2 linked regions of the Caenorhabditis elegans genome follow. The protein of the gene in region 2 purifies or fractionates together with the protein of the main gene of each other region. This does not show direct contact. Each region holds a gene or a part of one and is shown on either strand. Other genes may lie near its edges.

Region 1 (5,652 bases), on a different chromosome or scaffold from region 2:
AATCAGGTAGTCTCAGCATTTAAGCATCATATGTATCATGTTTCAGAAAAAGTTTAGGTTTTGTATTCCCGTAATCCATCATATTACAATGCCCACTTTCACCGCTGCTTGCCGGCTGATAACATAATTTTTTTACTTGGAAATTGTTTTAGCATCTGCAAAAAATATTTATTTATCAGTTTTATTAAGAAAAAACGAAAAAAATAAGTGAAAAACGAAAGAAGACAAACGGAAAACAAAGCAAGATAAATGGCCGCTGAAACTTGTCGGCCCCTCGGCCATGGCCTAGAAACCACTTTTCCTCGTCCCTCGTGAGGAAAAAGTTGCAGTGAAATCGCGAAAATTGGGGAAAAAATGAATTTTCTGCTAATTTTTGTGTATGTTCAAATTTTTATTTCAGTTAAAAATTGATTTTCCTTCAAATTTCAGCTCGAATTTCCAGATTTTTCATATTATCAACTAATCAAAAACTAAACAAAACTTTGGAAAAAGTAGAAAATTTGTTTATATTTGAAAAATATTGGAGAATACTCAAAAGGGGGTCACACTATTGCACGAGGATGGTGATAGATTGGAGGGAGAGGGGAGACGCAGACAGTCAGAGGTAGTTGTCAGCAGAAAAGGAACACAAACAGATGATCTATTGAAATGGAAGGAAGAGGCAGCAGGATTAATCGATTTTTTATTTGAAAATTGACACAAAAATGCCTGCGCGCCTACGTAGGCGACCTACGCGCCTGCTTCCTGCCTACAGAGGGTCTTAGCACGATCACAACTGTATCAGTTAGTAATTTAAAATAGTCTCTAATTCCGGAGAAACAATTAAAAAACGGAACTAAAATTTCAAATTTTAAACTTGAGATTTTTGAATTTCGGCTAAATTCGAACTGTGACCAATCAGCGAATCGCTCCGCCCACTTTCCAACCAATCATAGAAAGTGGGCGGAGTTCGAATTTAGCAGAAATTAAAAAATCCCGATTTTTTGGTTTTTTTTGTAGTTTTTTTCCGAATTTCAAACTATTTTGGGACTTTTTTTTTCCAGAAAACCACAAAAATCCCCAAAAACCCGAATACAATGGTCATTTAAATTGAGCAAATCAGTGTTTGAGCCCATGTTTTCACAGCTGGAGCACACAAATTGTGTCGAAAATGAGCTGGAGATGATTGAAAATGTGCAAAATCCGGAATTTTCAACAAAAATTTGGTTCAAATCGGTCAAAAAATGAATGATTTTCAGTGAAATTCTGTTAAAAACTCGGGAAATCGATTGAAAATCCCAAATTTCATAGAAAAATGAGTCTTCACGGCTTGAAAATAAAACTTTCTAATGGAAAAAGGCTTCAAATCCTAACAATTTTTTAGAAAATGTGAAAATCTCAGGGATTTTCGGTGAATTATCATAGAAATACCCGATTTTTAGGCCCATTTTCGAGAAAAAGTGAGAAAAATGCAGAAAATTCCGATTTTTTGCCTCAAAAATGCGAGAAAATTGCGAAATTCGTCGGTTTTTCATTGATTTTCGTATTGCTGGCCGCAAACAATTGTGAATGGGAACGGTTTTTGTTCGTTTTTCACTGAAAAGTAGCCAAAAAATATTGTAATATTGGAAAAAAGCGCTGTAAAACAATTGGAAGATTAGAAATTGATGAAATTTGAATTTCGCGCGCACTTTTGCGCTGAAAAAAACGCATTTTCGGTCGGAAAATCTTGAAAATCCGGTTTTTCGCCAAAAATTCGATAAAACCAGTTGATTTTCAACATTTCGTTGCTTTTTCTTACAATTAGCCGGGCAAAAAAGCGTTATCAGCGGCTTTATCATCGTATTTTACACGAATCTCGCGTTTCTTATCAGAAAACCTTGTCCTCTCGCGGCCCCCCGCAAATTCTTCGATTTTTGGGAGTTTTTCCGTGGTTTCAATGACTTTTTCTGCTATTTACATAGAATTTGGGCTATTTTCGATGAATATCAGTGAAAAATCGATTAAAAATCATATGAAAATGCTAAAAATCGATGCGGAAATGGAAAAAAAAACCGCGGAAGAAATAAACAAACCGATGATTTCGCGGGGTACGGTCGACAAGCATCAAGTGGTGTTTTGTGTGCAATTTGTCGTAGGATTCGGTGTTGTGTTCGTCCGAAATTGCGGACTTTTTGCATCATTTAATTTTCTTTTTTTTTCTTTTTTTCCCTGAAAAACCTTCAATTTCATTGATTTTTTCTAATTTTTTTGATAAAATTGAATTAAAAATCGATTATCCGTGTGTTCTGCCACTTTTCGCTGCAAAATCACTAGAAAATCTCTAAAAAAATCACCTGTTTTTAGGGAAACTACAGATTTGGGCCTCTTGCCGGAAACATGCAGATTTTGAATCTTCTCAGCCGAAATGTCGGTGTTTTCAGTGAGTTTGAATTTAGAAATCGAGTAAATTTTCCTCTGCAAAATACATTTTTGCCATATAAATACGAAAAAAATAGTTGTTTTTTTTTCGTAAAATTCGAGTTTTCAGAGACCGTCACACTATGCGAGCAAAAAATGCAGCAAGTATCGTTGATGCAGGCTCGTCACCTGGCTGTTCCAGGAGGAAAAGCCGTTTTCAAGAGAGATAAGCCACATTTGAATGTGGGAACCATCGGGCACGTCGATCACGGAAAGACTACGCTCACCTCGGCAATTACAAAGAGTACGGGTTGAATTTCTTTGAAAATACGACGTTTTCCACCGGTTTTATCTAGCAAAATCCATTAAAAAATCTAAATTTTCAGAAAATTGTGACTTATTTCACCTTTATCCTCCAAAAAACTTCAATTTTCAGTCCTCGCCACATCAAAAGGAGCCAAATACCGTAAATACGAAGATATCGACAATGCGCCAGAAGAAAAGGCCCGTGGTATCACCATCAACGCTTTCCACTTGGAATATGAGACTGCCAAACGCCATTACGCTCATATCGATTGCCCCGGACACGCTGATTACATCAAGAATATGATCACGGGTGCCGCACAAATGGAGGGAGCAATTCTCGTCGTAGCAGCCACCGATGGACCAATGCCACAGACAAGAGAGCATTTACTGTTGGCTCGTCAAGTCGGAGTTCCACTTGACAATATCGTAGTATTCATGAACAAAGTCGACGAGGTTCCCGACGCAGAAACCCGTGAACTCGTAGAAATGGACATTCGCGAGCAGCTCAACGAGTTTGGATATCCAGGAGACACATGTCCGGTTATCTTTGGATCGGCTCTCTGTGCTCTTGAAGGAAAACAGCCAGAAATTGGAGAAGAAGCCGTCAAGCAGCTCCTTGAAGTTCTCGATAACAAATTTGTGATCCCAGAGAGAAAAGTGAACGAGGAGCCAATGTTTGCAGCGGAGCACGTTTACTCGATCGTCGGGCGTGGAACAGTTATCACTGGAAAGCTTGAGAGAGGAATTTTGAAGAGAGGAGATAAGATTGAAATTGTTGGAGGAACAAAAGATGGAACCACTGTGAAATCAGTAATCTCTGGATTAGAATCCTTCCGTAAAACTGTCGATCAAGCCGAGCCTGGAGATCAATTGGGTGTGCTTCTTCGTGGTTTAGGACCAAAAGATGTTCGTAGAGGATGTGTTTTACTTCCACAAGGACACAAACATAAGGTCACTGATAAGGTTAAAGCTCAACTTTATGTGCTCAAAGAGAGCGAAGGAGGCGCCAAGACACCGATTGCCAACTATTTCAGTGAGCACGTCTTCTCATTGACATGGGACAGTGGAGCAAGTGTCAGAATTATTGGAAAAGACTTTGTGATGCCTGGAGAATCTGCGGAGTAAGGGATTTTGCTGGACCAAAAATTAGCCGATTTTCAGCACAGAAACTCTGAAAAATTAAGAAAATCTGGTTTTCTGTCGAAAATTCATGTTTTTCGAGCAGAAATCATCACAAATATACTTTTTAAGTTCCAAAAATCATAGTTGTTACAAAAATTGAATTACCTGTCTGAAAATTTTAGAAATCGAATTTAAAAATGAATTTTCAAAAGAAATAGTTTTATTGGAGAAGTGATCTTTCTGCGGATTAAAAGAGACGAAAAAAGTTATATAAAAAATTTTCAGCGAAAAAAAATCACTATAAATTCTTAATTTCTCGTATTTTTTATTTAAATACGATCTTGAATCTTTTAATTTTGAAAATCGAAATTTCTCCAATAGATCCGATTTCTAAAATATTTTGACAGAAAATTCAATATTTCCAGTCAATTTTCGTGACAACTAGGATTTTTAATTCTAAAATTCGCGATTTGCGATTTGTGAGGTAATTGATGCTTTCTACTCGAAAAAATGACACTTTTTGGCAGAAAAATCACATTTTCCACCAATTTTTGTGTTGTGAATCAGGCTACTTTTGTAGATTTTTCTCTTGAAAATCGGAAAAAAAAACCGGAAAACGAGCTTAAAATCGTACTTATAAGAATTTTGGCTACTAAAATTATTTCTTTAATTTAAAAATGACTAAAAATCAACTTTTGTGGCCATATTGCTATGGTAGAATTGTTATTTGACAATTGTTCTTCAAAAAAAAAAGAGAGCCTACTGAAATTTAAGATTTTTGTTAAATATTTTCCGAAAAATTGAAAAAACAAAAAGTTTCAAAATTTCATTGAAAAATTGTTTTTTCCCTTGAAACTAATCAAAAATTCAATTTTTCTTTCAGAGTCGAGCTCTCACTGAATTCCCAAATGTTCATCGAGCCCCAACAAAGATTCACAATTCGTAAAGGAGCCAAAACAATTGGAACCGGTGTGTTCACCGACGTTCTTCCACCACTAACCAACGACGAAAAGGACCCGAAATCGAAGAAAAAGCTGATGAAAGCTGAAATGGAACGATTGGGATTCAATCCATACGGAGATATGGTCGAAAAACGTTTGAAACCAGATTTTTCCAATTCTCCAAAGGACAATCCGGCTGCGAAGGCTTTCGAGGGACAACCATAAATTTTTCGCATTTTTTCCTGAAAATTTTGAAGAATTTTGTGCTTAAAAATCCATGTTTCCCTCCCCTCCTCATGATCTTTATAGTTATTTTTTCCTTTTTTTAGTTGTAGATTTGAGATTCATTGTTCATATCCCATTTTTTGTTAATTTAATATTTCTCTGTTGAATTTTTTTTACTTTTTCGTTGTAGAAATCAAACTTTTCTGCAATTTGAAGCATTTTTCCGAGAAAAACCACAAAATTTCATTAAAATTGGCAAAAAAACTTTTGAAATTTTTGAATCGAAATATCAATTTTTTCCTGGAAAATCTGATTTTTGCTCAAAATTGTATTGAAATTGAAAAAAGGTTTCTATTTTTTCCAAAAAAAAACCGGAAAAGGGAATTTTCATGAAAAATTGTGAAATTAAAAAAAATTACATTTAAAGAAATTTGCAGAAAATTTACTGAATTTTTTTTTTGAAAAACTCAATTTTTGAAAATTATTTAATTATATTTCCTGAAAAATCAAAAACATTTCTTTTTTGCTGAAAATTTTTTAAAATACCGCGTTTCACATTTATTAGAACCATCAAAAAACGAAAAAAAACCGCTAACAATATCCCATTTCTAGCAGCCTCGGGATTGGCCGAATATGTTAATAAAACAGCAAAAAAAAAGGAAACTTTGACGAAAAAAAA
Region 2 (5,003 bases):
AAGTCGCCATTTGACTTGAAATATTTTTTTCAAACCAAAGAAGAAGGTTTTTCATTGACTCGATAGTTTGGTTACGATCCGCAGCATCTTCAGATCCATTAGTTGCAGCGAAAAAGGGCAAAATGAATCTAAATTCGAGTATCGACAGAAGAACATCATCACTGAGAGTGTGCTCCTGGCCTTCTTCTTTTGCAAGCCTAATTTCAATTCCTTCTCGAATTAGATCAATTTTCTAAATATAATATTATTGTTTCAATAATGAACTAATACACAAACCTTCAACAAATCCAAGACTTTAGTTCGGTATTCATCTTTCATTGCAATAAGATTTGATGTACTGTGACTCTGTAGCAAATATTTGAGACGGTTCAACGTCATAATCAGTACATCTTCTGGATCCTCCAATTCACGTCGTTTCTTCTTACTCTGTTTCGTTCCATACAAATTTACAAGAACATTAAGCCCACTATCGAATGAATCAAAAACAGAATCCGGGTTGAAATGAATTGCAGATTCAAGAAACGGCTCAACTGCTTCTGGAGGAACATCGTCGTCTTCCAGTCTTGCGAGAACATCATTAGCAATTGATTTAAGGTAATCTTTAGGAATGACACTGCTGATTGCTGTCGCAGTTCCGAGAATAGGAGTGTTGGCGTATTTTTCAAATATTTCCTTGACAACTTTTCCAAATATTTGATCACATTTCGCTTTTGAAGTTCCATCGCCATCTGACATCAGCATCTGAAAAAGTTTAGAAGTTTATAATGTTTTAAAAAAGGTCTTCAATTTTAAATTTGAGAAATAGAAAACTAACTCCTTTGCATGACATGTACAGAATGAGAGCACACTCAAGATAAGCTCTCGCTTTTTTGTATCCTTCGGCAGTCTCTGGTAATGGAGGGCCATCCTTTTTACGAAGATAACGATATGCCCAGGTTATAAACATTTCGATAAGTTTGGATGCTTGGGATGCATCAATGATTTTCATTGGGCCAAGCAATCGGAAGTAACTCAAAAGAGCCAATCGACTTTTTCCTAACATGTAGTTGACACGAGGACGATAGTATGCTTCATCCAGACTTTTCGAGATAGGAAGACAAATATGCATAATTGGAATCAGTTGACGGCGGCAGGTCTCTACGTTTTCCAGATCGAGTTTCGCAATGGCATCATCTCGAGTAATGATATCGAACACACTGAAAATTTATTTTTTAGTTTGTTGATTTGGGTTCATTTTACCTAATAAATTTATGATTCTTCAGACGAGAAATTATTTGGTAAGCAGCAAGACGAACTCGTTCAGATTTATCCTGTAGTGCTGGATCAACGGCACATTTCAATCCATATTCGAATGCTGTGAGACATGCCGGAACAAATGCCATTTCATTAAGACCTTCAAAAACGGCGACGCGGACGCTGACAACAGTGTCTTTCGCGACTGTATCAATGATGTATCCCATGAGTTCCTTCACGATATTTTTTGGAATAAGAAGCCAGAATTCGCTGATTGCCTTCAAGACATGTTTCGTGGCTTCGCTTCGAATGGAAATAACATCACTACGTAATAAGTCCATCATATATCGATGTTGGTTTTCCATTATCCTATCCATGTCTTCAGTATCCTCGCCAATTAGTGGGTAAAAATTGAAAAATACTTCTGCAGCTGATGACTGTACAATGTAATTTGGAGCGTCCAGCGCTCGGTAAAGACATCCATTGAGAAGCCTTGTCACCATTTCATCTACACTTTTGTCCAGTTTTTTCGCGTGTGCAAATGCGGCAATCACATTTTGAAATTTAGTGCAGGTAGGCCTGTGAGCATATAATGCATGCTGACACATGACACTGATCACATCGGTCTCCAATTCCTCTGTCAAATCAAAGTTAGCCTCCTGATATGCATTTCTCCAAGCTGTGACGAATACTTCACCATACCTTTGACATTCAGTGCTGCAAAAATATATATAAATGGAATTCTTCAGCGTATAAACTTTACTCGGTGAGATTGAACTTTAGTATTAACTTCTCGAGTAGTATCAGTCCATTTCCAACACCAATTTTTGGGAGAATTTCAGCTGATAATTTTATACCTTCCGGACAAATCAACAAGGCTGGTGCGAAGAAAATACACCGAAGAGTCGATGGATTTGCATTGGCAATAATATCTTCTTGAACTGCCCACAATTTTCTGATGAATGTTTTCTGAAGAGCCCGACCTCCTTTTCCACGGAACTCTGTGAGTAACTCATTCCAGTCTTCTGATGGTTGTTTGTTAGGTGTTACCGGATTGCTCTTCGGCATTGATCTCTTTACTGAAAATTTCTATGGAATTATAGAATTTATTTCAACAAAAAAATAGCAAAAAATAATAGTATTAAAGTTTTCACCTAAAAATAATTATAAATAATCAATAAAATAATTCAATAATATAATTTACCTCGCAATTAAAAAAAAAGAAACACATTTTCCTTGTTATGTTCAAAACGAATTCTTTCGCGCGGCCGTCTTTCTCATTGGGGCGCACTTGCCTTTTCATTTTTTAATGCAAAAAATGCCCAGAAAATTGCATAATTTGCTTTATTCTCTTAAAATAATTATCAATATTGACTGAAAACTAAAGTTTCCAATTTTAGAAATGTTTGCTAGAGCTCCATTTGTACGTCTACTATCAACGACTAGTCGAAACTTGGCTGAGGCCGAAAAGAAAGTCTCTAAAGAGGTATTAAAATCTAGGAACCCTAATTAATTTTAAAAAATAAAAAATAATTGTTTTTCAGGCTCTAATGGCTCTTCGAAAAAAGACTGGTTATAGTTATGTGAATTGTCGTAAAGCACTTATTCAGTTTGGCGAAAATGATATGGATAGTGCTGTAAAATGGTTGAAAGAAGCTGCAGCGAAGGAAGGATGGGCCAAAGCGGCAAAGTAAGTGTTTATTTTGAAATTTTTTTAATTTGGAATGTTGACTTCACAAGGAATTATTTTAATAGTTATAGAATATTCCAGACTTGGAACTCGTGTAACATCGAATGGTCTTGTATCTGTAGTCACGGACAACTCAACAGCAGCTGTGGTAGAACTCAGTTGTGAAACTGATTTTGTGGCGCGATCTGGAGCTTTCAAGGATTTGTTGTCAAACATCTCCAACTCTGTTCTCGCAAAAGCTAAGCCACAATCTATATCGAGCGGCTCAAAACTTCAAGAATTCACCTATGATCTTGGGGATCTGACCGATTCCGACGGAAAAAATATGCGTGAAGTGCTCTCCCTTTCAATCGGAAAGCTTGGTGAGAACATGACAGTGAGAAGAGTTAAGGCTTTTAAAGCTCCCGAAGGAACAACTTTGTTTGGAGCTTCACATCCTAAAGATGGAACTGATGATATCCCGATGGGACGGTTCATTTCACTCATCGCTCTAAATCAATCGAGTCCAGGTGAAACAAAGAAATAAAGTAAAAAATTAAGTCTTAACATTTACAGGGTCAATCAGTAGTCAGCAACTTGCCGGACAGATATGCCAGCACATTATCGGAATGTCCCCGGAATCCCTCGGCGAAGCTGCAGAATCTGTGAAAACTCAAGAAGGGCTTCGTAGTCAAGAAGGGCATGATCCAAATGCTGATCCAGTTGTTGTAACTAATATTGATGAATCGGAAACTGCTCTTCTCCGCCAAGCCTTCATGTTGAATCCATCTCAATCTGTTCATGAGTACCTAAAATCCCACAATGCTAACATTCTCGATTTTGTTCGTGTAGAGCTTGGAAGCGAATAATTAGATAAAAGTGGTAGTAACTTTATTTTCATGCCTTATTAGTTTTTAGAATGCTTTTGTTTCTCTGTTTTGTTAATCGATAAATAAATTTATCGACATATAAATTGAATTTAAAGTTTAAAAAATAAACATTTGCAATTTTCAGAACATTCCTCCGTGGAAAACAATTGAACAAGAAGACGATTAAAATGCATTTATTTTATTTCAGAAATTCATGGTCACTCGGATTTCTGTCGAAATCAAATGTATTTTAAGGTCACAATCCGCGAAAATTTAAAACAATTGTTGTAATATAGTAAAAATACGAGAAAACTGCTGAGAACACTCAGAAAACATATATATTTTTGGGGTACTGTATTGGTACTGTAGGAGTAATTGGTGATGTAGGTGTACTGTAGTATCACTGAGCTCTTTGTTGAAACATGCGATATTGTTCTAAATTGTATCGTTCTTAGATTTGGCAATTTATCAAGACAATCTGAAACAAATATTGTTGCTGAGTCTGTTACTCTTGTTCCAAAACTGAAGGGACTATCTTGGTCATTATCATCAAGTTAGACGGTTTCAGTTCCATTGACATGGCAAAAAATACGAAAGATCACCGAACATTCCTCATAGTTTTATATTCCAGATGTTCCCATTTCTCAAGTTCTCATACCACATTCCAAAGGAACACAACTCAACAAACCCCAATCTTTCTTCTTCGGTTTTCTTCTCAAGCTTCCTCATTTCTCATCGTCATTTTTCCTTTTCATCATCAAATGTGTATCAAGACGTGACGCCTATGTGCTCTCTTTGAGAGAGCACCGCTGTTGTAAAGGTAGAAGTAAAAGAATACACAAAGAGAATATCATGCGTTTTGCGTTTTCTGCTGTTTTTTTTTCGCCCGTGTCTTTCTCTCCTGCTCCTGTGGGATTCTTTGGGAAATTCACACTCTTCTCAAGATAGAGAAAAGATAATGATAAGAGCATTCTTTTCCATCTCTCTGTGATCCAATTGTTTTTTGTTTCTCTAGAGTTCATTGATTTTTATGTTATTACCACTTCCTTATCATCAACTTATCACCTACTTATCCTCTCATTGTTTTTGTTTCAGAAGGTGATATGAATGGAACCACAAAGAAAGATGATAAAATTGTTGCTGGAAGGAGCAAAAGTGCAGATAGTAAATGGAAAGATCGAATGAATCGAGGTCTTGGAAACATGTCTAAAAGTTTACCCAGTTTTAATAAG

Evidence for each region. Proteins that work in one complex are often made in the same cells at the same time.
Region 1: the proteins of tsfm-1 (region 2) and tufm-1 purify together in Caenorhabditis elegans (co-purification; one study listed by BioGRID). This does not show direct contact.

What each region holds. Positions count from the first base shown.
Region 1 is NC_003281.10:2,811,643-2,817,294, reverse strand, and holds tufm-1 (Elongation factor Tu, mitochondrial), read left to right. Parts: upstream 1-2,325; 5' UTR 2,326-2,358; coding exon 2,359-2,401; intron 2,402-2,509; coding exon 2,510-2,683; intron 2,684-2,815; coding exon 2,816-3,806; intron 3,807-4,690; coding exon 4,691-4,973; 3' UTR 4,974-5,152; downstream 5,153-5,652.
Region 2 is NC_003283.11:12,269,182-12,274,184, reverse strand, and holds tsfm-1 (Elongation factor Ts, mitochondrial), read left to right. Parts: upstream 1-2,633; 5' UTR 2,634-2,635; coding exon 2,636-2,719; intron 2,720-2,777; coding exon 2,778-2,923; intron 2,924-3,004; coding exon 3,005-3,432; intron 3,433-3,478; coding exon 3,479-3,771; 3' UTR 3,772-3,914; downstream 3,915-5,003. Other genes in the region: capg-2 (CAP-G condensin subunit), read right to left, coding at 1-232, 277-741, 815-1,196, 1,240-1,950, 1,997-2,301; twk-24 (Potassium channel domain-containing protein), read left to right, coding at 4,875-5,003. UniProt on the Caenorhabditis elegans protein: Associates with the EF-Tu.GDP complex and induces the exchange of GDP to GTP. It remains bound to the aminoacyl-tRNA.EF-Tu.GTP complex up to the GTP hydrolysis stage on the ribosome.